Regions from separate parts of the Mus musculus genome. Here regions 2, 3 and 4 are each reported to be linked to region 1. Evidence: microRNA targets listed by miRTarBase, many of them from high-throughput screens and not tested one by one. Region 1 holds a microRNA gene; each other region holds the end of a gene's coding sequence.
The links. The annotated mature microRNA mmu-miR-429-3p reads UAAUACUGUCUGGUAAUGCCGU and lies in region 1 at 3,489-3,510, shown strand. An mRNA with a match to its seed (bases 2 to 7 or 8) in the 3' UTR can be bound and repressed. Matches are read on the target gene's strand: a 7mer-m8 pairs with bases 2 to 8, a 7mer-A1 pairs with bases 2 to 7 and ends in A, and an 8mer does both.

Region 1 (7,120 bases):
GCTGGAGGACCTACAGAATCTGCATTTTGAAGGTTGTACACACACACACACACACACACTGCTGTCTGAGCACCTGCCCCCATATATCTGACCTTTTGGCTTATGCCCGGGCCAGCTATGCACTTGGCAGAGTCCCCTAGCCTCCCATGTTCCCTAAGAAGTGCTCACCCTGAGTAGTCAAGGATGCAGGGATCAGGCTCATCATTAGATACCATTTCGTCTTCCCTGTTTCTTTGGCACAACCAGAAGGGGGAAAGGCAACATCCTTGGTGCTTACCCTCACCCAGCTCCCACACTCTTTGTGGCTCTGAAGCCACAAGGATAACTGAAATTCTGCTTAGTCCACTTAGTTCTCAAATAGAATCCTTAGTTTGCCAAAGCTCAGAGAGAGAGAGAGAGAGAGAGAGAGAGAGAGAGAGAGAGAAAGTCCTTTTGAAGCACCGGTTTTATGAATCTGATAGGATAGAACTAAAAAAGTTCGGGAAAGGGGAAGTATATCTGACGGGTGTTTGAGAGCACTGGGAACCTTGTAGGCGATAGACGAAGAGTTAGGACAGTTTCTAAAACCTTAGGCTCCTATAGAGTGTCCATTCCCATCTGCTCAGCCTGTGCTCAGGTCAGGTCCTCAGAAATGTTGGCTTTCAGGAGAGAGGCTGGAGAACTAGCGGCTGCCTGGAGGCAGTGACACACGCCTTCGTTGTGATCCGAGGAAATCAGTACAGGGCTTGAGCCACCTGTATTGTGTCTGTGATAGAAAAGACCAGAAAAACGAGAAGAAATACTTCTGTAAAGACGGACTTGGGATGAGGAGAGGCACAGATTGAGTCTCTTTCAGTCCCAAGTATCCTTGGGACAGGTGCTTAGTTTCTTGGCTCTGTATGGGAGACTACAGGCTATGTCCTTAGCAACAAAAAGATCTTTCTATGGGTATGTGATTATTGTATTCATACTGGGGGCTGCTTTTCCCATACGCTTGAAGTGTTGGATCCCTGGTCCCTCATCCCAGTATCCTTCTTGGGCCCTGAAAAAGGCAAGAGGGGCTGGGCAGGAAAGTAGACTTGAACAGTATCCTGGAGACAGAGGCCCACTGAGTGAACCTCATCAACCTTAAGTACACTGTGTACCCTAATGGGACTGGACCTGTTGTCTAGGCTATTCTGTAGTGAATATACTCAGATGGAGGGCCTGTCTATGACCTGATCCTGACCTGGCCATTGGTCACATGGAAGTCTACATAGCCTGCCTCCCAGCTCTTTCGGGCTGTCAGCCTCTGGGAAGGACTATTTGACCCTTCAAAGTCCTCACCTGGGCCCCAAGCTAGTCCACTGCAGGTCAGGTTTGGCTGGGCAGGGGAACTTGTCTATGGCCATGGGTGCTAAGTCCTTCCTCTGGGCCTTATAGAGAGGCAAGAAAGAGGCTTCAGGGCCTATAAGACCCCCATCCTAATTATTTTCCATCTAATTTCCAAAAGAGAACTTGATCTTACTTCAAGCTGTTGACCTCTCCACTACCTATCTTTGGAGATGAGAATGCAGGGCTTTCTGCTGTTGTCCTGAAGGGGTGCCCTCCTTCTGCAATGCTCTGGGGATTAGGACACTTAGGCATCTGGGCCCTGCCCATGGAATCTAGTCATCTTCAACTCCCTGCTAGGCGGCCTCCATATCCAACTTGGGCAGCCGTGGCCATCTTACTGGGCAGCATTGGATAGTGTCTGATCTCTAATACTGCCTGGTAATGATGACGGCGGAGCCCTGCATGCAGCAATGGAGCCGCCTCCTGATCCCAGCCTCCAGGGGCCCCAGTTCCACACCTCACCTACCTTATCCAAGGTAGGGCTATGGGGCAAAGAGTTAGCCTTGGCGATATGGGTGGTGGGAGGCTTTAGGGAGAGTTCCCCCAAACCAGGCACCTCTGAGGGCCACTCTATATCCTGGGGTGAGAGGCTCCTCCCATTGCCCTGGGGGCGCCCCCTCCCAATGCCCTGGGAATTAGGACAGTCAAGTGCCTGGGTTCTGCATACAATACCCAGGCAGGTGCTGCCACCACACCTGGCAGGTGTACGCTGGGTGGAAGTGCAGCAAAGGCTCTAAAGGGCTAAGTCTCCGCCTAGGCTCAGAGGGCCTCATGCCAAAAACTGCCTCACCTACATCTAGGAGCTGTGTACTGATTGACCCCCTAGTGGGGCTACTCAAGCCTGGGATACCTTACCTTCCTGCATCAAGTGAGCACCGACCTATTGACCAACAGCACCTCCAACATGCACACTGAGCCAATGTGTCACTGTCCCCTTGCTTTGGACAAAGCAGACCGTATGAGTTAGGGTCAACATCTCTGCTGGCTTATTGCGATGCATATACGGTCTCTGGCTGTTCATGGCATCAGGTTTCCACTGGGCCTCCCTGAGGGTGGAAACCACCTGTGTCTTCCTGCCAGAGCATACCTGGGCCTCTGTGGGCATCTTACCGGACAGTGCTGGATTTCTTGGCTTGACTCTAACACTGTCTGGTAACGATGTTCAAAGGTGACCCACCATTCGCCGAAGACAGGCTGATGATACACACTTGTCCTCCTGGACTCCAGTTAGGCCGAGGCTGGGTGCTGGGTGCAGAGGGCCTGTCTCAGCTCTACAGATCAGCAGTCAGTGGGGGCTGGACTTTGACCCTTGTCTATTACTTCATGCTGGGACAAGGGATGGTTTCACCATGCCAGGGGTACTGGAGTAGAAGTGGATTGTCACTCATTCTCAGAGCAGCGATGCCCACCTTTGCCAACTCCTCTGCTGGATTTGGGGGTTCATTGATTCCTAGAGAGACTGTGAGGGTTAGTGAGGATGCTGAGCTAGGTAAGGAGACATGGATAGCAGTGTTAGCATAAGGACTGTCAGTGCCTATGGGACCAATGGGCAAGGGTGGGTTCGGGGACCTGAGCCTGGTACACAGAATTGTGACGTCATCAGCTGTTTCCTAATTAAGAACAAGGAATCTCTATTCCTTCCCAATGGCTTTCCAGAATAGGAACTTTGCCCCAAACCAGAATCCAGGATTACTTCTTATCTTTCTTTACTTGGAGCCAGAGTACAGGGTCAGGGAGCCCCACCCAGTATCAGCCTAGATGACTCTTCCGGGGGAAGGAGTCTGTTCCTGGCTTTAATGTTACTCATTAAGCTGACAGCCATTCAGAAAACCAAAGAGGTGCTATGACGAGCATTTGCCAAGTAAGAGTGAGCAGATGACTCTCCTGTTGCACCCACAGACTTCCACACTTGAGGAACAGGCAACCAAGCTGGGCCCTGGTAAGAAAGTCCTTAGAGTAGTCCCAGGTCCTAGAAGGGTGAACCCCAAGAATGGCCCTTGGACCAGAGCAGGCAGGAAGCCAACCCTGGCCTTCCCTCTACAGGTATCAAATCCAACTGCCCAGATGGGGAGGCCCTTGTACTGCCCTGCTGATGGATGTCTTACCAGACATGGTTAGATCTGGATGCATCTGTCTAATACTGTCTGGTAATGCCGTCCATCCACGGCCTTATCACCGCTGGAGACGACATCCTCACCACCTCGTGGACACTGGGTAGAGACAAGACCTTAATCCATCTGTTACAACTGTCCAGAGCTGGGTTCATCAAGCCCTCTATGCAAACAGACCACAGTTTAAATATACAGGCCCCGCTGAGCCTGACTGCCTTCCTCTGACCCTGTAGTAGCTTTCGGTTACAGCCACAGCAGACTGAGGCCTCCGTATCCATCCTTTTCAGGAATAGTCAGTGGGGCGGTCACAGTCCTCTTGCCCTCCATAGCCCACTGGGCTCCACACAGAGACTTCGATCTGTCGTCAGCTGTCACCTGCAGATTCTGTAGCCCCTGTGCTATCAACACTGGTAGGAGACAAGAGGAGATCTAAAACCTTGGTCCTTTGTCTCCTCTCCAAAATTCTCAGGTCATGGAACCAAGGAGAGTAAAAGCAAGTCTAACCACTGTGCCCAAACCCGGAGTGGAAAATAAGTATATGGGTTTCAGGGACAGGGGCACTGCCAAGGTGCCAGACCAGGTGATAGTGACTCATACCCAGGAATATGCACAAGGCTGCACAGCTCTGCCGTTGTCAGCCTGCTTATGAGCTCTTCCTATGCATCCCACCTCTGGCTCTTAGGATCTGAGAGTCATCTTTCAGTCTAACTCTGGATGCTGAATGGCCCGATCTTAAAGATCCCACCCCCACCCCATGTCCCTGAGAATTTTCAAAAGGCTGTTGCTAAAACGGTTGCTCTAGAATGACTCCCAATGCTTACATCATTTGCTATATGGGGAGTTTGAGTGTTGCTGTGATAAGAACTAGAAGTGAACCTCTTAGACCTCATCTGCAAGCTGCTGGCTTCAGTACCTAGACTTCTGCAAACCTCAAGTTGGCCAATACAGCCTGAGTCCAGCAGAGCCAAACCCTACCTCATCCACTGCCCTCTTGAAGGAACCCAACATGCCCTAACAGATTTCTTAGCCCTGGACAGGCCATTCCTCTAAAGAACCATTATAGGGACACTGGACTTCATCTTCCACAGAAACCTGCTGGGCTCCAAGTTCTATGTGGCTGAGGGACTTGTCCGCCCATCGTGCGCTCTATAATAGGTGGTCCCCTTTTTGTCATCTCTTCAAGCATTGTAAATAAAATGCAGGCAAAAAAAATCTTTGTAAGGCAATAAATTGTGTGATTTCTGAAATTTTATGTTGATCATCTCATTTTCACCGTACAAAACATTAACAAGCAGCCTTGCAAAGGATCAAGCCGAGGACACGGGGACTCCAGTGATCGGTGCTCCCGCCAGATAGAAGAGAGACATGGGGCTCATTGTACCCAGCCAGTCATTACACAAACCAGCTCTGGTATGCAATATGTACTCTAGAACCTACCAAGGACAGGTGAATCAGGAAAATGGGGGCTCCTGTCTCAGCCAAGAGTCAGCCTTGGAGTGAGAATTGGGTGTCTTGTGCAGGAACCAAGCCCAGGGTGTTATGAATGTGAAAGCAATCACTCCACCCCTGAGCTACAATCCCCAGCTCCTGGAGTGTGCATTGAAAATGTCATAGCCAGGATCAGAGACAGCTGGCTGCTGGTCCAAAGCCTCTCCAGGGTTGGGTGAGCTACCTGTCCAGCCTGGAGGCTTTCAGCCCCAATAACTCAGCCCAGGGTTTAGTAGAAGTGCTATGTGCCCCAGCCCACCTGCAGTCCCACTGTACTATTAGTCTAGAGCAGAGAGGTCTCTTGATCCAGCACTGGACTGACCACAGAGACCCCGACTCCCAGCACAGCATAAGAAGGGCAGATCTCACAAGTAGAGAATGACAACCTATGGGGCACTCCTATCGCCATAGGACTCTGGGCACAGCTGAGAAATGGTGCTCCTTCAGACCTGCCAAGCACAAGCTCCCACACTGGCAGCTTAGACTAGGGAAGGCCACGTGAGTGACTTGTCATGCCCAGCCTCTAAGGGGATGCTAGAGCCCCTTAACATGAGCAGAACCACAAAAGAACCTGAAGGTGAGGAGATTTACAGGGTAGCCAAAGACAACAGTTGTCTTCCAGAATTTCCAAGATATGCCCCTAGAACCTCAAGAAGGCCCTAGAGGGAGTCTTCAAGTGTCTTCCTCGTCTTAGTTCACAGGTCCTGTGGCTTACAGTCACATACCCTTATCTCTGCTTCCCTCTAAAGAGGTCACCAGTCACTGGGTTTAGAGTACGGCTGGTTGACACAAGATGACTGCACCCAAAATTCTAACTCAGTGACATCTGTACAGATTTCTATTTTTAGAAAGGCACGGTCATGGACTCCAGGATATGGTCCTGGTTTTTGGAAGCACCATGTAGCCCCTGTCAAGTTATTGTGATCCTTGCAAGGCTCTGAAAGATGACAGGAATGTGGATCCATATGGCTGAAAACTTGGGGTCAAAAGCAGGAGTCACACCAGATCCCAAGGACCCCAGCAGGAAACTACAAATTGGCCTCAAAGCCACTTTGAGCCATGCTTGGTGTTAGATCCTAGTTCTTTAGGTATGGATTAAGGAGTCCCTGTGAATACTCAAAATCATCTAGGAAGAATTCATGGGGGGAAGGGGACCTGGAGAGATGGCTCAGTGGTTTAGAGCACTGACTGCTCTTCCAGAGGTCCTGAGTTCAATTCCCAGCAACTACATGGCGGCTCAAAACCATCTGTAACAGGATTTGATATCCTCATCTGGTGTGTCTGAAGATAGCTACAGTACACTCACATATATAAGATAAATCTTTTAAAAATTTCATATACATACACACACACACACACACACACACACACACACACACACATATATATATATATATATATATATATATATATATAGTTCATGGGAGGATGGAAGATGTGGGGCTATGCCCCAGATTCAGATGGCGTTGTGAACTCAGGAACAGCTTCCCCCCAGCCTCCTCAGATCAATTTGACCCATTCTCCACTTCTTGCTTTGCCCAACTTCTGTAAGGCTGCCCTTCAACTCAATGGTCCCTTTCACCATCCACCTAAAACTCTTGTTTACCTTTGGGCAGCTGCTGAATCATAGTTCCCTAGTAACAGTTGCCTGGAGACAGTTGCCAGGTCACCACTGTTGTATCCCAGCAGAGGGTTCCTAAGACCTTGAGAGCAGGTAAGAGAGACTAGGTGGTTACAAGCTGAGGGTCCTGACTAGGACTGAGGCTGAGTCCTTGCCCTCCTGTGCCTCATTTTTGACTCTTTCCGGAAGTAGATAAACAGGAGAGAGGACTGGGCAGCTTGGCTGAGTTCAGCCCTCTGCCAAGGCCACACTCTCCAAACCCAAGTGTCTCAGCCAACAAAGGCGTGTCTTGTGGGGCGGGACTGGTCCATGTGGGCAACTCAAGTTCTGGGGAGGGCTGGGACCCCTTAGAAGGAGCTCTTTGCCTAGAGCCGTGTCTGTCTCCCCCAGAACTGACCCCTCAGAAGGGCCACCTCCTGAGATCCACAGAGAACGCATCCCCAGACAGTGAGCGCAGCTTGGGAGGCACCGGCCCTTCAAAAAATGTCAGCACCTTCTCAGAGCCCTGTGTTGCCAAACGTGTGTGTGTCTAGAGAAAACTTCAGCA
Region 2 (7,118 bases), not on the chromosome of region 1:
GTGGTAGTCAGTAATCCCAGCCTTGGGGAGTCTGTGGCAGGGAGAGTAAGAGACTTTGCTAGCCTAGTCTATAAGATGAGAACCTTTGTGGAAAACATTACCCAAGTGAAAAAGATCTTAGCAGATGTGTTCTTTTCCCTACCCTAGATTATCAGACTCTAGAAAAAGAACTCGCACAGGAAGATCATGGCCTGCTGCAATACCACATTTGCGGAGAAGAAGAGGTCGCCTTCCACGAAGAGCACTCCAGACTCAGAACTCAGAAGTTGTGAAAGATGATGAAGGCAAAGAAGATTATCAGTTTGAAGAACTTAACACAGAAATTCTGAATAACTTAGCAGATCAGGAGTTGCAGCTCAATCACCTGAAAAACTCCATCACTAGTTATTTTGGTGCCGCAGGTAGAATAGCATGTGGCGAAAAATACAGAGTTTTGGCTCGTCGGGTGACGCTTGATGGGAAGGTGCAGTATCTTGTGGAATGGGAAGGAGCGACTGCATCCTGACTGTAGGACTGAACGTAATGTTCACTGCACTCGTTTTCTGTTGGTACAGTTAAAAAAAAAAAAAACAAAAAACAGAGTGTGGGTTTTATTATCTTTCTTAGAAAAACAAACAAAGAGAAAACACAAAAATATTCACAAAAGGAGATGATACTGGCCTTAAAACATGTTCTTGTCAATGTTATGGATATTGTCATAAAAAAAGATATCTTTTAAAAATCAGAGGAGAGACTTAATTTTTTTAAATCTTAAGATTTGTAGACTGTTTCTAGGATAGGCTATTAAACATGATTCATACCCATGCATGGTGTTAGATACTTTTTATAATTATTCCATTGAGTCAATTTTTGTGATTAGTGGTTATCAGAGCAAACAGATCATGTAGATAGCACAAGTATTTGGAGAAACATTGTGTGTTTTGTTAACAAAATGTTGGAAAGATTTATTTCAATACCCTTTAGATTTCATAAAGTGCAGTGTATATAATGTCTACTGAAAGACTGTAAAATATTGAAATTTCTTTCAAGCAAAATGTAAAAAAATATATTGAGCCTGTAAATTGCTCTGTGACTAGACTTCATTGTCGTCTTAATATATTCTTTGCATGTACATGTATATACACACATGTGTATATATATGTGTGTGATTATGTGACCTATGCAATACAAATTATGGGAATGGGCAGCTTTGGAGTATATATCCCATAATTCTTATTTCAGGAATAGTTGCAGTATTTACACAGCAGCATTTCTTCTCAGGCGTTTATTGGGTGCTGTTGCTTGCTATGTATGAAGAGAAATGTGTCAAGTTTAGTGTGTACTGAAGAAGGGTGTGAACAACAGTGTACATGGGCTTTTAGAGGGCTTTTCAGTCCTTGTAACTCAGCTGTTGAATACCTAAAACAAATTCGAGTGATAACTACATTATTTCCTATTAGAAGTGACGTTTTCAAGTGATTGTGGCACATTATGATTGTAAATGTCTCAGTTTTAACAGCAAGTCTGTGGGAGCCCAGTGAAGACTCCTGAAATGTCTGTAGTAACTGTTAGTCATGTTTGAGTAAGCGTAGTATGAACAAAGTCTTTTATTGCACAGGGTTAACAAACAGTATGTTGCTAGCTGAGGCTAACTGCTGTTTTATTACAACATTACCTCTTGTTTTTATAAAATGTACCAAGATTTTAAATTGATATCTTTATTTTACGTGTTAAAAAAAAGTTTCTTTTATCACCAGTGTTAGAGTTGTCTTCTGTTTTTTTGGTTTGTTTTGGTTTGGTTTTTTTCTTGTTGTTTTCTTTCTTAGCCAAAGAGTAAACAGAAGAATATTATTTTGGTAGCTCTTCATTTTACTTTTATAATGATTGGTGGATTTTAGACTAAAAATTGGGGAAATTTCTGCCAAAATGAAAAAATATGTGACGTGTATTGATGACAGAATGCTAAAATTGTGGTTAGTGCTTATTTATTCCATTAATTGATTATTTGCCTGTTTTTAAAGAAACATGCTTTATTTCCTTAAGCATCTTCAAAAGATGACTTTTCTTGTCACATTGTAGCCAAAAGAAGCAGAGAATTTCTTGTCCTGCTTTTGGTTCCTGGTTAACCAGGTATAATGAGCTTTACAAAGTGCAAATTACAAACTGTCACTTCTGTTCACCTCCACCAAAACTTGATTTCCCCTAGCTATTAATTTAAAGTTGCCTTTCCTGCAGCTGCAATATTTTGAATAACACAGAGATTGTGTTAATTTTTGAATGTTTGTTTATATCTAGGGGTAATGGAAAATGTAATTCCCGTGTAACCTTATTCACTCCAGCTGTATCATATTTCATTTTTCCCAAAGTTCTTTAATTTTAACTGAACACCAGCAGTATTTTTAGTAATTCTTTAAGATACTTGGAAGACAATTTATCAAGCTGAACTGTCTCTAGACTTAATTATTGTGAATGTCTGTTTTCTTTTATCATGGTGGTTCACATGGCTCTGATGTTCAGTTTGTATTTTTGAAATTGCTTTACTTAGAATTAAAACAGACCAACATTAAATGTGTGTATTTTTAAAAGAGCTAATGAGTTTTTCTTCTGTATCTGCTTGAAAATACACACTGGTGCAGCAGTTAACTGCTTTTATTTAGCTAGGGAGGAGGAATTTTCCAATTCTTTTATATACTTGAATTAGTCTTGAAGAACTTTGCTTCCATTTCCTTTTGTCATAATGATAATAGTGTATGTTCACTGTGAGTGATCTTTTAAAAAAGGATTACATGCTTTGTATTTGAAAGACAGTGTTTATGTCCTTTCCTCTTCCAAAGACTGTAGAAAAATCAGGCTTCACAGTTGTTTCTTCTTCCTAGGTATTGGGGCACATGTAAACAGACTTCCCGTTTTTGCTATTTTTTTTTTTTGACTCTAATCTACAGAATAGAAAAGTTGTAAAATAATATACCTTCCTTCCTTTTTCATTTTAAGCATTTAAGAGAAAAAGAGAGCACAGAAGCTGTGAATCTTGGCAGCTGCTGGAATAGGTAAGCGTAGGTGAAAAGGACAAAGTCCTGTTGTGTTAGGTTCTGGCACGTTCAGCAAGCAGCTACACGGCAGGAGCGGAAATTTTTAGGAAAAGCGTCGTGGAAGTATTCCCAGGTTTTGTAAAAAGGTAGAAGGTAGAAGGAAAGGAAAAGGCTCAGAGAGACTTGGCAGCAGCTCCAAAAGAGACCATAGGAGACCTTATGTAATCGCTCATTTGTAACCACCCTGTTCTTTAGGATAAACCAGTTAAGTGAGTGTGTGTGCCTTACCAGAATAATTGTAAATCCTCAGTGTTTGACTTCATGCGCGCACGTGTGCGGGCTGTGTGTGTGTGTGTGTGTGTGAGAGAGAGAGAGAGAGAGAGACGTGCACCCACATTGTGATAAGAGTCAGGTCTTTCTGGAACGATAGCTATTGGAAATCCGGGCACGTTTGAGAGCTGAGACTGTCCCATCTTTATTTTTTGTTGAGTATTTGTTTTCTCTCATGGATATAGTTAGATTTCTGTTTATCAGTGTTGGGATGAAGTTCTATTTTTGGCTGATTTGTACTCCTGTTAGGTACTATTAAATTTTAGTTATTAAATTTTGAAAGAGGGTGTTTTAAGGCTAACAGATACCCATGTAATAATTAAAGATAGATTTCCCCCCACCCCCAAGGCCCTCTGTATGGAGAAATTTTCTTTTCTGAATTAAGAGTACAAAACTCCAGAAGTCCCATTCAGTTTCTCTTAAGGCATTTGATATGTCATAGTTTTTGATCATGGAAATGAAAACATGACATTTAAATGTAAAGTAAAAGCTTTGTCTGATCATGGGTATTTTTCTAATTGGTGTTAGTTAGGATTCATAGATAATTCTGATACATTCTGACATGTGAGAAACTTGCAGCATCTCTAAGCAAATAGATGGTATATATACAAATGTTTGTAAGTTATAATACCAGAGTAATAGCTACATGAAATATTAATTTACTTTATTTTTTAAATTAGAATAAAGTCAGTGTGTGGATGTATGCTAGTATTTCTTACCACTTGAGAGGCTGAGATAGGAAGATCAAGAGTTGGAGGCTAGCCTGGGCTATATAGTGAGACACTGTCCAAATTAATTAAAAATTAAAAATGAACAAGAATAAGATTACAGCCTGGCGATGGTGGCACATGCCTTTAATCCCAGCACTCGGGAGGCAGAGGCAGGTGGATTTCTGAGTTTGAGGCCAGCCTGGACTACAGAGTGAGTTCCAGGACAGTCAGGTCTATACAGAGAAACCCTGTCTCTAAAAACCAAGAAGATTGTAAATTAACAAGATGACTGCCCATTTGTACCTGGCAGAGTTCTTTATTAGCCAACTCTCTTTGTTTATTGGCATTTTCTGTTTCTGGAAATGAATACAAAAATTGAATTCTTAGTAATTCCTTTTCTTCAAAGTAATTCTTTGGTTACTTAAGAGATTCCCCGGGCTGGTGAGATGGCTCAGTGGGTAAGAGCACCCGACTGCTCTTCCGAAGGTCCGGAGTTCAAATTCCAGTAACCACATGGTGGCTCACAACCATCCATAACGAGATCTGACTCCCTCTTCTGGAGTGTCTGAAGTCAGCTACAGTGTACTTACATATAATAAACAAACAAACAAATAACTCTTAAGAGATTCCCCATTGTGTATAAACAAAGAAACAAAACCTTCACAGGTTATATATTATGTACATTTGGATAAAACATATCCTGCCTAGCCATTTGTCAGGATGCAGGCCTGTAGTATTATACTTGATATTTTCTACTTGAGAGGCTGAGATAGATTCTGTCTCAGAATTACTAGTTTCTGTTGTGTTTGTTGTATTTATAGTCAGTCATTCTTTTTGCCCCTTTGTGACATACATTCCTCTAGAAGCCGATGTCAAGTTCCTGAATGAACAAAATTAGTGTATGGGGAAAAGAACAAGAATAGAAACTGGATAACATTTTACTCAACTGCATCTGACAAAACCAAACAAAAGCACATTATTCTGTAGTCTTTAGTTGGGATCTCTTCAGGCTTCTGAACAGCATCTCTGTGGAGCTTATGGAACATGCTCCCTGTGTGTCATGTCTGTTTGGAAGGATCACATACTTAGGCTTGAAAACATTTGAAAGGTCTGCCCAAGCCTGTGGACTGCCTCTCGTGTAGTTCCTTATTCTCATCACCTAGTCTTTGCACAGTTAATAACATATTATTGTTTTTATTTTATTATGGTATTCCACCCTCTATTAACAACATTCCAAAAAAGTTGATGCCCATCTGAATTTTTTTAGTGGTGGTGTGGTGATTGAAACTGGGTTTCTCTGTAACTCCCACTGTCCTGGAACTCTGAGATCTGCTGCCTCTGCCTCCCAAATGCTGGGATTGAAGGCTCTGGCCAACACCACCCTGTCTGAATATATCCTGCTGGGCTGGACAGTGGTGGCACCCATCTTTAATCTTATTAATCCGAGCACTCGGGAGGCAGATCTCTGTGAGTCTGAGGCCAGCCTTGAGCAAGTTCCTGGATAGCCAGAGAAACCCTGCCTCAAACCAAAAAAAAAAAAAAAAAAAAAAAGCAAACATTTAAAAGAAGGTGTCATTTAATAGTATTAGTGGAATGCACAGTAAATTTTAAGGAGCAGAATTTGAAACAATATTACTGCTAAAAATTTTGTTGAGTTTTGTTTAGTTTTAGTTTGAAATTAAATTATGTTAAACTACTTTTTCTTCAACATTTATGTGTTACTTGTGAGTCCCTGCATTGCATGTGTGTGCACCATCTGGGAGCAGGTGCACAAAAATGGTTTGGAGAGATGGTCTGGACCTCTGAGGCAGATGTGAGATGTGGGTCCTCTGAGAGGGCAGCATCTCTCTAAACTCAAACTTTCTAGAAATATCCCTGAAAAGAAGCTTCATGGAATCTTTGAGTCATTTAAGACTCAATTTTGATTTCTATATCTACTCTTATCTACTTCCAGATTTCATTTAATAAGTCCATAGTGAAAAAATATTTGAACTGTAACTTTATATTAGATTCTCTGTCTCTGCCCTCCCACCTTTCTTTCTTTAGGCCCTGGGTAGTCCAGGCTAGCCATGAAATTGCTGTGTAGTTGAAGAGCAAGAGCAGTGTATGTTGTTAACCTCTAAGTTATCATTTTTGCTACCTTTTTGTTCTTTGAGACTTGCTTTCCTGTAGGAGGAGATACAGAAATCATGCTGCTCTGAATCCTTGATCCTCATCTTTACTGTTCTCATGTATTGGGAGTGCCATGCCTAGCTCATAGTAGGTACTTTAATCAACCCCTAAACCAGTTAGAGAAGCACATTAAGAATGCCTTTTATCCCAGCAGGTGGATTTCTGGATTCGAGGCCAGCCTGGTTTACAGAGTAAGTTCAGGACAGCCAGGACTACACAGAGAAACCCTGTTTTGAAAAAACAAAAACAAACAAAAAAAAGAATGCCTTTTTATTTGGAAGTCTTGTAGAATGTAGTAAATGTTTTCATGCTTTTATAAGAACAGTTTTGCTGGGCTTGGTGGCACTGTCTTTAATCCCAGCACTGTGGATGCAACAGCAGGGAGGTCTCACTCACTTGAGGTCAGCCTGATATATATGGTGATTTCAGGACTACAAAGTGAGATATGTCAACAAATAAGTAAAATTAATAATAAAGTCATTTTTGAGGCTATAGAGATGACTCATTGGTTACAGTGCTTAGTGTACACATTAGGATCGGTTTGGATGCCTAGCACCTACATAGACCTCAGAAGGGTGCTGTAACCAATAACCCTAGCTCTGACGGGGGCAGAGAGGTGTATTCTGGGGACTTACGCACTAGTGTCATCAAAATAATGAGCTCCTGTGTCAGTGAGGAAAAAATAGAGTGGAGATCAATAAAGGAAGGTACCCAGCATTGACCCCACGCGTGTGTGCGTGGGCAAGCAGCATAGCGCACCCCATGGTGTATGTAAACTTTTCTGTCTGTAGGGAATTGTGAGCGTTGCTGTGTTGCTGTATATAGTGGTGCTCACAGAGATTTAGATGGGATTCTTACTCAGCCCAACCTAGGTGGTTGCTCTCACTTGTGCCTGTCT
Region 3 (7,120 bases), not on the chromosome of region 1:
AACGCCGGACCGCGCAGCGCCGAGGCGCGGGTAGTGCTCAGCCGCGAGCGCCCCTGCTTGGCCCGGGGCGCCCCAGCACGGCCCAGCCTGGCCTTGACCCAGGAGAAGCAGCGGCGGGTGGTACGCAAGGCCTTCCGCAAACTGGCCAAGCTCAACCGGAGGCGCCAGCAGCAGCCGTCGTCACCTTGTTCGTCCACGTCGTCGTCCACCGCCTCGTCCTGCTCGTCGTCTGCTCGGACCCACGAGAGCGCGTCGGTAGAACGTATGGAGACGCTGGTGCATCTGGTGCTGTCGCAGGACCACACGATTCGCCAGCAGGTGCAGCGGCTCCGGGAGCTGGACCGCGAGATAGACCGCTACGAAGCCAAGGTGCACCTAGACCGCATGCGGAGGCACGGAGTCAACTACGTGCAGGATACCTATCTAGTGGGGGCCGGCATCGACCTGGACGGACAAACTCCTGAAGGGGAGCCGGAAGATGCGACACTGGAGGAGAAGGGGACAGAACCGGCGGCACCCCTGGACAGCGAGGCGCAGGCGGCAGCGTTGGAGGAGCTGGCCAGGCGCTGTGACGACCTGGTGCGGCTGCAGGAGGAGCGCGCCCAGCAGGAGGAGTTGCTAGAGCGCCTGTCCGCCGAGATCCAGGAGGAACTGAACCAGCGCTGGATGCAGCGGCGCAATGAGGAGCTGGCGGCTCGAGAGGAGTCCCTAGAGCCCGATGGTGGTCCGGATGGCGAGCTGCTGCTGGAGCAGGAGCGGGTCAGGACGCAGCTCAGCACCAGCCTTTACATCGGGCTGAGGCTCAGCACGGACCTGGAGGCCGTCAAGGCGGACTTGGATTACAGCCAGCAGCAGAGGGACATTAAGGAGCGCGAGCTTCAGGGCCTTCTCCAGAGTTTGCACACTTTTGAGCAGACGGTGGTGCATGATGGGGCTCTGGGTTCCAGCGGACCCTCTCGCGAACCTCAGCCTCAGACCTGTGCAGAAATGTGGGTAGACCAGGCCCGGGGACTGGCTAAGAGTTGCCCGGGCAACGATGAGGACTCAGATACTGGGCTGAGCTCCATGCATAGCCAAGACTCAGACTCGGTACCCCCTGTGTGTGAATCCCTTGTGTAGAAGTAGTAGGGAGCAAGCTTAGACGCTTGCAGAATGCACTGGTTTGGCCTGCTCAGGGACATGAAGTGAGGCCATGGGGGTGAGCTCAGAGTTCCCACGGATGGGTCTGGAGAGTGAGTGTGAAGGAGGGTCCTGGACAAGGAAGCCCTAAGCTTCTAAGCTTTAGAGGGAAGTGGAGTCAGGAGGTGAGAACCCCTCCCTGTTTTTTAAAAACACATTAGGTAAGTGATGAGGTCCAAGCCCATTTTCAAAACAAGAGAAAAGGAAAACATTACGGGACATTTTTTTTTTACCACTCCTGTGCATGGGAAGGACTGATGACAGCTAGAACTTTGGTCTGTGGCATAAAGTGCTGCTAAAAGAAAACACTTGGATGGAAAGGAAATTCCTTGAATGTTAATTGTGACTGGAAACGTGTTCAAACTAGCCAAAGAGGGCGCACTAGTGTTGGTCTCTGCCTTGCTTAACATCTTTGATAAAACCCATAGGCATCAAAATCCTGACTGTTTACATTTCTTCAGGTTTGGGAATTACCCATCTGCTAAATCATTTGCCTTTTATTTCTGTCAAAGGCCAAACTGCACTGGGATGCAAGGCTGGGCCTCTCCTTACTAAATACATTGTGTTAAAGGCTCCCCACCTTCAGCCTGAAACATAGCACTTTGAGTTATAAAATCCTGGCATACATAATCCAGGGTAAAAATGTAGTCTGGCTTTTTGGGGTGTGTTTCTGCAAAGGCAGAGGTGCTGGCTTGTAATTCATGATTCAATTACAGTTAAGAAGGGGGAGCTGCAGAAGGGGGTGCAGCCTGCTTTGCTGTTTTCAAAGAACGTTCTGGTGTCAGCTACAAGTTGGAAGTAAGAATCTCCGCATAGTGTTTAGCTGCTAACTACAGCTCCGTGATTAAACACCAGCTATGATCTTCATGAATTTTACCCAGACCCAAGTCCAACTTCAGTATCTTCGGTTGGAGATGAGGTTCTGGTTCTCAAGTAAACTGCAAGTGCCAATTAACTTCAGGTGCAAACAGCAGGGTTTACTAGCAAAGGCCCCAAAAGGGGGGGGGGAGGAATCTGATAGGCCACGGTGGGTAAACAAATAGAATAACCATAGATAGCAGGGAGCCATGGGGAAAGTGCATGAAGCTGAGTTAAGACTTAAAAGTTGCCCCTGGTTGGCCATTCCTCTGTGCGTGGAGGGGGGAGATATAAGGGTGACATTGTCTCCTGTAGCTGGTGAGAGTGCTGGGGAGCACTCGGTGTAATTGTTCCAGGTATTTCAATTTAAACCTATCAGTTGTAGTTAGCTGTTGGGCCAGTGGAAGGAGCCTGCTTGTCCATTTCCCTGTGGAGCCAAGTACTTTCTGAGGAATGTGGATCTAATCTGTCCAGAGGAAGTATTAACAATGGTGTGTGTGTGTGTGTGTGTGTGTGTTGTCAGTGAGGCGCAGAAGGCTGGTATCAACTGAACTAGTGAGGGGCTGGCTACCGTTCCCACAATGACATGCAAAGATATGTACAGAAGCGTGGGATTTGGAACTGTTTCTTCCCATTCGTGATCACCTGTCTGAGTGTCCCCAATGGGAGCATGTCCTCCTGAACTCCTCAATTCGCTATTGGAACGTCCCCTTTTCACAGACTGTCCCCACTCTGATGCCACCGTAGGATTATAACACAGGCGACCGGTTTCAGATGTTCAAGCAAAATCAAAATGAAAAGAGTTTTCTTAAATACTTGATACTTTTTGAGAGACTTTATTTGGTATCGTTATGTTGCGTAGTCTTGTCTGATGCAGAAAACATCCTTACACTTGGTTCTGTGGCGTCATTCAAAAGAGGAAGGGGAAAAAAAAAAACTGACCAAAAGAGCCTCCCCCTTCCCAGTCATTTGATTCGGTAGACACAAAGCTTAATGACAGCCTGCCTGTGGAGGCAGAGGTAAAATCCTCATTAGAGTGTGACAAATGCCACCTGTCTGAATGGTTTATGCTGGCAATGGGCTGACCTGGTGGTTTTTTAAATTATCATGCTTTTTTTTTTTCTTCCCCCTAGGGTTGTGGGGGGGTGGTTCTTGGACGTTTATTAACTTAGAAGGAACATAGAAGTTGGCAGAGCGCGACTGCCTGGCAGAAAGGAGCTGTTTTCCTTTTGACTATTATTATTTTAAACTTTGATGGGTCGCTGACGTCAGCAAATATGCCTGAAACCTGCAAAGCAAACATGCCACATCACAGGAGGAGGGCCTGCGGGGGTTTGGAGAACATTCTCTGTCCCTAACACATGAAGAGGTTGCCCTGCTTTAAAGAAAATGCTTCAGACAGCTGGGGGGCTTTGCTTCTAACAAAGGATAGTTTTCTCCTTTTTTTCTTTCGTTCCAATCAATTCTCTTCCTAAGAGGTATTCTCTGTGTGAGTAGGAGAGAAGAGGATTGGAGGCGGGAGGAGAGGCAGTGGTTCCTTTTGTAAAAAGTTCTTGTCACAACCATGTGTGTAGGCTTGAAGTCTCACTGATGAATGAGTGTTTTCCATTTTCCTGCATATAGATAATGCCCGTGACACTAAAGGTGAGTCAACACGGCAGACACTGTCCCTGGGAAGGGGACTCCTGTTCTCTGGGTGCTCCCAGGCCCTATGGAAATCCAGCACCCTTTCGAAGAGAACAGAAAACGCCATAAGCTCCTTCCCAGCTAGCCCCATCTTTCTTCTGGAATTAGGACGATCCACTGTGTGTGTGTGTTCCTATGCATCCCATTCGGGGTGCTCTCACAACCCAGCATCCCATGTGGCCTTACTATGCTGACTTCCTTCTATAAAATATGGTCATTAGGCCCAGGAGATGACGACTTAGTGAGTAAAAGGCCCTTGATACCAAGCCTGACAGAAGTTTGATCCTCCGGTCACACATGGTGGAAGGAGAGAACTGATTCCTGCAAGTTGTCCCCTGGCCTCCTCAGAGGTGCCTGATCATACACCTGTGACCTCACAGGAGCACACACATACACATTCAAGTGAGTGTATGCATGTGTACACACACACACACACAATGTTTTTTTAAAGAATGGTTATTATTTTTATTAATAGTTTCTTCCTTAGAAAAGCTGCACAGCACAATCTTGATGAAAAACGTGGAAACAACATGAATTTTGGAAAGAAAGAAGAGCCGCCACATTCAGGCTCTTACCACAGAAAGCCTGTTACTGCCAACATTTGCCAAAGTTCCCTTCAGGATTTTTTGTGCATTTTGAAGTTTTCCTATGTTGCTCTATTGTTACACATAGTTTTGATAAGATTGCATGCCTGCTTTGACCCCATACTGTGGCCAAACTCTCTTGAGCTTCATAGTTTCTGTGACAGCCCACGTTGTTAGCCCACATTCTAACTATTGTAAGATAACTCTGTGTTAGGCTCCTTTATGAGCGCATCTGCTTTGGGGACCCCCCCCCCTCACTTCTCTCAAAAGATTCCCAGGAAGAGAATTCTCACCTTCGAGAGGAGATGCATTTATATGCTTCAGGTGTCTTTGCCATGCTGCTTTTCAAACAATTTATTCTAATTAAGCTATGCATAAAAGTGCCCACTTTATCCTAGATGTCACTAGATATTGGGTTTTGTTTGTTAAAAAATAGTTTCATCAAAATTTATTAATTCTCATAGCCTCAAAATCAGGGCTGAACATCACCATCTTAAAGTGTCTTTGTAACAAGCTGGGCCAGTTGGTAGAGGTGTTTCGTCGACCGGGGTGCAGTTTGGTGACAGAGCGCTTGGGTAAATGCTCAAGGTCTCAGCTTTGGTCTAAAATCACAACAAGGACGGAAGCCTTTACTGATGAGTTAGGATGACATGGCAGGGCCTAGGGGTGTAACTCACTTGGTAGAGTTGCCCAGCTCTGGCTTTGATCCTCAGCACATGTGAAACCAGACCCAGTGGGTCATAACTATAATCCCAGCATTCAACAGGTGAAGGAGGAGGGTCAAAGATTCAAAGTCACACAGTGAGTTTGAGGCCAACCTGGGCTACATGAGATCCTGACTTTAAAAAGAAAAGGAGAGGAAAGGAGAGGAAAGGAAAGGAAAGGAAAGGAAAGGAAAGGAAAGGAAAGGAAAGGAAAGGAAAGGAAAGGAAAGGAAAGGAAAGGAAGGTAAAGAAGAGGAGGAGGAGGAGGAGGACAAGAGGAAGAGGAGGAAGAAGAGGGCATAGTGCTCTTTTCATTTTTTTCTTTCTTCTCTGGATAGATTGATTTACCAGCTAGCAATCTTGTCTCCTATCAGAGTTGGCCAATGATGTGAGAGTGGGAGGGGCCAAGGCTTCATAGGCACAGGACAAAGAAGATAACAGAAGAACTAGAGTTATAAAAACAAACAATTATCTTTTTCATCTCAGTCTAGCGGAACGGTGATTCTTAGAAGGTGATGTCATGAATACATTGTGTTTCTCTTTACAAACCTTTACCAAAAATTAAATGTAAACACAATAAACACACAGGCCAAGTTGCTAATTAACAGCTGCTAACAGTTTATGTTTGTCTGGGGTTTTCTTTCTAGCACCTGGGCTCAGTTTTAAATTCTTTTTAATTTAAAATTTTACTTTCCATGTATCATTCAGTTCTTAGACTAGTTTCCCCCTCTTTTTTTTTTTTAACTTGTATTTATTATTAATGGGCACATGCCACATTATGTATGGAAATCTGAGAATCCTTTTCGGGAGTCAGTTCTTTTCTTGCGCTATGTGGGTTCTGGTGGTAGTCAGGTTACTGGGCGTGGCAGCAAGTATCTTTACCCACCTAGCCATCTTGCCAGCCCATCCTTAAATTTTTGAAAAGGGAAGTGAAGTCTCCAGTGTGGAAACATTTGCCCAATGTACTTCCCTACAGGAAGGACAAGAGGGTAGATAGGGAAGCCACTGTTGTCTGAATTTTTCCAATAGACTACATCATAGGACGGCATGTATCTCCCTGTGAGGCAGGCCTTTTGGATCTCCACTTTTTACAATGAAACTAAGTTTGTCTTTCTGATCAATAGCTGACATGATCAGGGAATGGTGGTGGCATTCACCTTTAATCCCAGCACTTGGGAGGCAGAGTCAGGTGGATCTCTGAGTTTGAGGCCAACCTGGTCTACACAGTGAGTTCCAGGACAGCCAAGGCTATTACATATAGAAACCCATCTTTAAAAACCACACACACACACACACACACACACACACACACACACACACACACTCACTCACTCACAAAGCTGACAGGAGATTCCAGCACAAGCCTGACCTCACATCCAGCACACATGCCAGCCACCTGCACAGAGAGCTCTGCAGACCTGTGAGAGAGCAGTCATCTTGTTCAGTTGTTTCCTCCAGAGAGGAGGAACCATCTCCCCCATATTTCAGAGCTAGTGATTATCTATCAGGTGAAGATTTAGCACAAGACAGAGGTGAGACATTCCCAGGAAATATTTGAGTGGCTCGGAGAATTAGAAGGACAGGCACAGTGGCACACACCTTTAGTCCCAGCACTTGGCAGCCAGAGGCAGGTGGATCTCTGTGAGTTCAAGCCCAGCCTGGTTTACATAGTGAGTTCCAGAACAGCCAAAGCTATGTAGACCTTGTCTCAAACAGAAGAGGAAGAGAAAGGGAGAGGGGGAGGGGAGAGGGGAGAGGGGAGAGGGGAGAGGGGAGAGGGGAGAGGGGAGAGGGGAGAGGGAGAGGGAGAGGGAGAGGGAGAGGGGAGAGGGGAGAGGGGAGAGGGAGAGGGAGAGGGAGAGGGAGAGGGGAGAGGGAGAGTTGTGTGGCCAGATACATGAAGTCATTGATGGTGACAACCCAAGCTGTGCCAGAGCTGTCTCTAGCTTTTTAGTTTTATTGACAGGGTCTCATGTAGCTCAGCCCAGCTTTGAACTCTTTATGTGGCCAAGAGTGACTTTGAGCTCCTGACTCCCTGACCTCAGATGAGTACTGGAAGTACAGACATGCAACACTATGCAAGCTTATGTGGTGCTGGGGATAGAACCC
Region 4 (7,120 bases), not on the chromosome of region 1:
TTTACAATAAATGATGAAGTAGTTTGTCTTTGGCAATATGATTACACATGAAGAACGCAAAATGCTGTATGGATCCCTCCCAAGCAACACCAAGTCCCTGGAGCTCGGCTGATGGAGCCATCTCCACACCGCTGCTTTAGGCTAACACAAACACCACCAAACATCGTTTTCTTTCTCCTTTCCGGTTCTCCCCTTCTCTTCATGATATTGGCAGTTTTATACAGAAATACAGAAAAAAAAATTGGCTTCTGAAGAAATTATTACTCTTGTAAATTAATTTGGCCATGTAGACCTGTTGGCCAGGAAAGGTCAGGTGACTCTAAGATTCAGCCACAAACCGTGTGGTTTTCTGCTTTATCATTGTGGTCTTGTTTTCTGTAAAATTACAACAAAACTCAGAAGTGTTACAGAATCAGAGTAGTAAAAATAAAAAGTTGATGTAGCTGTTTCCCAGACACACACAGATTCTTTTTCTCTCCCCATGTTCACCATGGCAGGACAGGCAGTGAGAACGATGGAGTGAGGCTGGCTGAGCCAGCTATGACCTTGGATGGCTTCAACACACATACTCTAGAAATGGCGACTGTGTCTGTAACTAAAAGTGTGCTGTTTACTTTTAGAAACGGGGAAGTCAGGTATGAAAAGATAATACAATTTCTAGGTTTGACAGGATCACCATATCGAAGTCTTTTGAGAATCCAATATGGAGTATCAATTATTTGCAAAAGGGTGGAGAAGGCATGTTCTCTACTTTTGCAAATGCAACACAGTGGAGGAACACTGCTGTATAGAGTCCAAATAAAGAGTCTTGATTCCAATACTAACGAGACAGGAAGGGTACTTTTGAGCATCCCACAGCAAGTCAGAAATGGTCATTCCACAGCGGGCTCGTTCCGGAGGCTCGGCAGCGCGAGGCAGCACCGTAGACTAACATCCGTCTCGGCCATGAAAAGGTGGATCGTTTTAAAAATGGTGTTTTCCTTCCTTAATTTTTGGTCAGTGAAGCTAGCACTTGTTTGCTGAAGGGCGGAAGAGTGACCAAGTCACACCCATTATTCATGATAAAGCAACCGAGTGGACGAGTCTGTGCTTAATTCAAGAATAGCCAGCAGGAGAGAGGACGCTGGGAGTTAGCCACCGTGGCTGGCGTGCTCTCAAAGGAGGAGTTAACAGATGAATTCACAAAGGTGGGCAGGTCTATACAGAACACTGAATGCTGTGTGTAACTCCTCATGACATCCCAAGAAACAGGAACACCACACAATGTATATACTTTGATTTACACATTCCGTTACAAAGGAAAAAAGAAAAAAGAAACAAAACAAAACAAAACAACCAAGACACCATTACAATTCTGTAACTGTGTTAACTGCAATAGAAACCAAAGTCTAGAGTCTGACAGGTAACCAAAAAAAGGGGTTTATCACTTAGGTTATATAGCAAAAGTGTTGATGTATATTATATATAGTAGTATAAATAATAAAAAAGTATTATTTAAATTAGATCACAGTGCTGCATCATGAGCCTAACAGTGTTTGATATAGTACTGGTGGGCTGGGACCTACAACACAAAGAACTGAACGGTCAACACTGGAAAGTCACAATCAAGAGGGGACGTATGCTCCAATGTTTTCTTTTGGTGGCAAAATAAAAATGAAATAAAAACCCTGCTGAAGATGAAAGAAAAGGATTTCTCTATAGAACATAGAGATCAATCTACACATCTGGGTAGCTGTGATCCACCAGAAAGAAATGAGTCCCAACCTGAATAAGGTTTGAAAGGGCAAAGAGAAATCACACTGAATTTAGTCTAATCCCACATATGGGAAAACTCCCCATTCCGGTCACTCGTCCCTAACTCTGGCTCTGGCATCATGTCATAGGCTCCTCCACCCTCCAAGGGACAGTACAGAGGTTGGAGTAGCATCGATAAAGCCCAAATTGGTGGCTTGGGACATTGCACATGGGCCTGCTGTGTTGGGACTGTAAGCACCAAAACCACCCCATCTGTGGCTCGGGCGCCACAGAATGCAATCGTCCTTCAAGAAAGCTCCGTGGTCGGAACTGCTCTGAACAGGAGGCAATAGACAGGCTAGCGACTACAGGAAAAACCCGCTCTTGGGAAAGGGCGCCAACCCATCCCTCCTTGAAAGACGTGGCCCCAAGATGGAGACCTGCCCCAGTCATCCTGACCACGAGTTCCTTATGCCACAATCTGTGTGTGGTTTTGGTTCAGCTTTAGATTCAGAGAGCCAGCTTTACTAAAAGAACTCCTGAAAAAAAAAAAAAAACATACTGACTGGAGATGCAGAGGGAAGTAGGAGCTTGGTGATGTATATTAGAAAGAAAACCTAAGTACGGTGCAGACCCTTTCTCCAAAAAAGTACTAGAGAATGAGGAAAGACTGTCAGGAGCGGGGTAAAACACGTGGATGTGAGCATCACCTAAGAAAAGAGAGTGAGTCTCTCTCTTCTCTTAACTGTGTCTGAGGGCTGACAGCCGGCAGTTGTTATGTCGCGGTGCTATGTGTCCCCAAAGCATCTGCAGATATTGCTATAGTTCCCCACTTGCCCCTCCCCCCACCCCATGTGAGTCCGTGAGATACTGGAATGACACATTAACCCGCCACTTCTCCCCACAGGAGAAATGCAAGGAAAAAACCAAAAAAACAAAACCAAAAACAAAACCCCACCACATCCCTTTAATGATGCTCAGGCGATCTGTCAGACTAATGGATACACAGGCTAGTTTGAAAGCTAAAAGAACACCTGACATTTGGGAAGGAAGTCCAACACTAAAGTGAATTACACTTAAGCAAAATATTCTTTCACAAATAGGCTTGTGCTTAAATTCTCTACTGCTCTTGGGGGAGGGGAAAGAGAGGGTGCCTCCTGCCCCTTGGCTTGTTAAGGACACGGACAGCCTCATTCGGCAGACTTCGCTACAAACAGCCACATACACATTGATGACTTTGTTTTTCGCCTCAACAGTCAAAATACAGAGTTAAACACAATTGAGCCATTGTTTTGGTTATGCATAATGCGTATGCCGCCCAAAACAGAAGGAAAATAGAAAACAGTACCCTTACTAAAGTTTCCCCAACAAGTCTTCCAGAAAATTCCAACGAAGGTGCCAAGGGAGGCTCAGGAAAATAACACTTAGAAAGCTGCCCGGTGAGGTATTTATGCAAACGGAGTGGTTCTGCGGTTCAGAACACACTTGTATAAGATAGTTCTCCAGATCTCCACGAGATCAGAAAAGTAAATCACACACACACACTGCATCTTGTCACCTCTGAAAGGGGCCTCTGCCCCTTCAGAAAAAATGAACCGAGGGGAGACAGCCGTGTGGGGTTTGCATCGGAAGAAGCCCCCTGCCACAAACAGTGCTGAGTGCTTACCTTTACCTTCAGGTCTGAGTTTGAACATCTTGGGGGTGGGGTGGGGGTGGGGGTGGGGAATCTTTTGGACTTGGTAAGTTGACAGCAGAAACCAAAGCGTGGCTCAGGGTTCCAGAGCTGTGGATGGCTTGTTGGGTGCCAGAGGTTTGTGGAGAACACACCCGTGCTCTCATCTAACCCCGAACCCTCACGCTGAGAGAGCCCAGGCTGCGGGTAAATCTAGCCTGCCCTAGAGTGGGTGCCCCCCTCCCACCCAAAAGCTGCCCTCAGGTTAGGTAGGGGGAAGTGGCTGCCGCCGTTGCCATGGTACCTGGTACTGACAGGTGGACACAGCTTTAAAGGCCCACCACTGCCCTGTTTCAAGAGTTCAAGGTCACTTTACTTTCCTCTCTCTTCCAAATATCTGACCCTGAGCCACGGTAGTGATTTTGTTTTTAAATGTTCCCTCCATTTGGACGGGAGGCCATATTGTTTTAGGGATTTCTCGTTTAGACCTCAAGGAAAAAACTTTCTTTTTTCCTTTTTTTTTTTTTTTTTTTTTTGGCAAAGGTAACTGGAGTTTCTGGCTTGTGTGACATGGTCTGGTTGTTGTTCAGCTCTCACTATCTAGGTGGTCTTAGTCCCAAGGTGGTTACTGTGCCGAAGTGGCAGAGATGGCCAGCCCCCTCCTCACTGCGCAATCACACTGTCACAGTAGAACGCTCGCTCGCTCGCTCGGGGCTGCTCCATCCAACCCCTTGATGGCGTACTTCCTCCAACCCATGTACCCATTTCTTACCCTCACCCAGTAAGGCCCATTAGCGTGTTTCCCCTTCTTCTGGCGAATTTGCATAATTATTCACTGCCTTTTTCCTAGAACCAGATCACGGTAAGGATTTTCCTCAAGTAAGCGTCCCATAACTCTCTCGAGTCTATCGTACACACTAAGTTTGCCCTCGAATTATTGCGTCGTGTTAAACACATACAGACATAGGGAAGGACACACTCTTCAGTAGAGAATCAGAGGGGGTCGGGGCTGAGTGCAGACAAGGCAGTACAGAGCTCAACCATCCAAGCCCCTACCAGAGCATGAAGATAATTTATATTGCAGAGTAAGTTCCCCAACAGTCAGAATTTGTCCCTGAAGAAGGTTAAACCTTAAACACCTGCTTCAAAAAAAACAAAAAAACAAAATAATAATAACAAAAAAAAAAAAAAAAGGAAAAAAAAGGAAAAGGAAAAAGAAAGAAAGAAAAAGAACAAAGGGCCTCTAAGCTTTAGGGCTTAAAAGTTAGAGGCATAGTCTTCTCTCTATTCTCTATATTTATATGAAAATAATTCATGCTTCATGCTAAATACATTATTTACCTTACAAGAACTTTGTTATTTTTGAATAAAAAAAAGTTTGTTTTTGTGATTTTTTTTTCCTTTTTCTTTTTTTTTTTTTTCTTTTTCTTCAAAGGAATCCATGCATTTGTGGATCAGAAATTTCTGCTGGCTACACTGGCTGAATGTGAAAGTCACTGATCTGTTCTGTTTTTCTTTGTTGCAAAAATGAGTACTGATATTAATTGCAAACCCTTTTTGAGGACAGTACAGGAGTTGTATTGTTTGTCATGTTTTTGCTTTGTTGAGTCCATCAATGTGCCTTTAATCTCATAAAGACACCATAATACTAATGGCAGTTTCCGTAGCACCCCCCCTCCCAACTTGGGTCAGATTATTTATTTAGGAGGAAAAAAATCTGTACCATTTTTCTTAACAGCTACTGTCATTTCTTGGGCATGATTGCTTTTCCTTGGGCAGTTAAGAGGGCACAGCCTATTTTCTGCATCACCTTTAAGTTGTGTGTTTGTGTGCACATGCACGCGCACACACATACACACACACACACACACAGGACCAACCTTCAGGCTTATGGCTTTGGAAGTCTTCTTAATTTAACATAGAGCAGAACTCAGTGGTTATCAATGGCTCTGACGATCCCTGTTTTCCCTCCTCAGTCACTGACACCTAATACACCTGAACAGTCTGGTATTCAGCCTGGGAGATGTTACCAGGCTCAAGGCTAAGAAACACAGAGGACTGGCAGCCAGGCCCTGGGCTTGCCACACAGCAAGGCCGATGGCATTTGTGGTACCTTGGGATGCCAGGGCCAGAGCATGGGGTTATCCTCTAGGGGACAAGGGCTCTTCAGTCTCTGTAACTGCTTCCCAGCCTCACTCCAAACACAACTGACTTCTTAAACCTAAGGGTTGGGCTGAGCAGTGACGACTGACTCTGTGTGCGTGTGTGCCTCCTAGGTGGTGCTCCATGTTCCTGTGGCATTAACATGGACAGCCCTGTGGGTTTAGCCACAGGTTTCTGACAGGCTGCAGGAAGCAATGGTTAATTTTGGCTTTTTTTTTTTTCCTTTCGGTTTTTGTATTCAGATAAAGAAAAGCTTTTGTAAAACGGCTGAGTGTCAATATGAGTTTCTATGGCTTCAATCTCCTTTAAACAGAAAAAATTTTAAGGGTCCAAAAACAAAGGAGTGGGGGGCAAATTAAAAAACAAAAGAAAGAAAGAAAGAAAGAAAAGAAAACCAAACCAACAAAAGGAAAAAAGAAAAAAAAAAAAAGAAAAAAGAAAAAAATTGCTGATATTGCCACAAATCATTAGAAATCTCCTGACATGCTGAAACCAAATGGCCATAAGTTCAAAACAAATCAGAGACTTGTTTCAATTTTTTGCGGTTTCCTTTTGTTCTTTCTGCCCCTTGGCCGTCCGATTGGTGATGTTGTTCAAACAGGACCGAATCCCTGCTAAGTGCAGGAGTGAACCGGCCGCCTCCTTCATCTCCTCGTCATCGCTCTCGGGCGGCTTCTCCGTGCGTCTCTTTTTGAGGGGCAGTGTGTCGCTGGGGACCTTCCTGGCCTTGGCGAAGTGCTGGCGCTTCTTGTGCTGGGATGCGTATCCGCTGTCCCCCAGGGCATCCTTGCCTTCCTTCGGGCTGGGTTTCCGGTCCTCCTCCTCTGGTTCACTGTGGCTCTCATGGCTCTGGAAGCTTCCCTCACTGCCCTCCTGGCTCCCCTTCGTAGCAAACTCATAGTGGTCGTCGGCTGAGGAGGAGGAAGAGGAGATGGAGTCGCTGGTGGGAGAGGTGCTCCGGGCAGTGGAGGACTTGGCACTACTGTAGTTGTGGTCCTCCTTCGGATCGCCACTGACCACTGGGGAGCCACATGGGGGCTCGCTCTCAGTCCGCATCCTGCAACTGGTGATGCTATTCCTGCAGACGGAGAGGGAACAACAAATCACATCTCTGGTGACGACGCCGGGCATCTGGGCTCCTGCAAACCCTGCTAGCAATTCCAAGACCTGGCTAACAGGAGTGTGAGCTTTGCAGATGGGGCCCCAATCCTCAGTCCTATCTTTCTTGGTTTTCCCTTCCCGCTCCCAATGACACCTTCTCCAAACCTGTGCGTCTGAGTTGTTAAAACAATACTTTTGAGGTGACAGGCAGGTGAATCATTCACACACCAGCCCCAGCACGGTGGAGAAAGCCACTGCTGGCAGATGCTGGCTGGGCACCACAGAGTCAATGGCATATTCTCTTCTGGAACTGCTGCATTTATCAGAAGGCTAAATACGACATGTGGCAAAGAGCCTGCCTTCCGGATGACAGTCACCCACTCAATCTGCCAATCGCTGAGCATGTGAGAGAGGGGCATCCCTTCAGAGAGGACCCAGGGGAACAGCCAA

Region 2: miRTarBase lists Mtf2 as a target of mmu-miR-429-3p. Seed matches in the 3' UTR shown: 7mer-m8 at 1,231-1,237 and 7mer-m8 at 2,371-2,377.
Region 3: the mRNA of Rassf10 is a reported target of mmu-miR-429-3p. Seed matches in the 3' UTR shown: 7mer-A1 at 2,516-2,522.
Region 4: miRTarBase lists Foxn3 as a target of mmu-miR-429-3p. Seed matches in the 3' UTR shown: 7mer-A1 at 5,050-5,056.

What each region holds. Positions count from the first base shown.
Region 1 is chr4:156,050,306-156,057,425 of GRCm38, reverse strand. Mir429 (microRNA 429) reads left to right here and starts at 3,439; the gene lies at 3,439-3,521. Gm13648 (predicted gene 13648) reads left to right here. Exons shown (of 2, transcript NR_132444.1): 2 at 3,397-4,711. Mir200a (microRNA 200a) reads left to right here and starts at 2,441; the gene lies at 2,441-2,530. It overlaps Mir200b (microRNA 200b), which reads left to right and starts at 1,676; the gene lies at 1,676-1,745. It also overlaps a transcript of Ttll10 not described here.
Region 2 is chr5:108,106,441-108,113,558 of GRCm38, forward strand. It overlaps Mtf2 (metal response element binding transcription factor 2), which reads left to right. Exons shown (of 15, transcript NM_013827.3): 15 at 148-2,779. The coding sequence ends at 505. Among named protein-coding and RNA genes, the nearest start is that of Tmed5, 23 kb to the right of the region's middle.
Region 3 is chr7:112,954,602-112,961,721 of GRCm38, forward strand. Rassf10 (Ras association (RalGDS/AF-6) domain family (N-terminal) member 10) reads left to right here. Exons shown (of 1, transcript NM_175279.3): 1 at 1-2,857. The coding sequence ends at 1,119. Among named protein-coding and RNA genes, the nearest start is that of Rassf10, 4.2 kb to the left of the region's middle.
Region 4 is chr12:99,190,167-99,197,286 of GRCm38, forward strand. It overlaps Foxn3 (forkhead box N3), which reads right to left. Exons shown (of 6, transcript NM_183186.2): 6 at 4,928-6,647. The coding sequence ends at 6,101. Among named protein-coding and RNA genes, the nearest start is that of 4930474N09Rik, 31 kb to the left of the region's middle.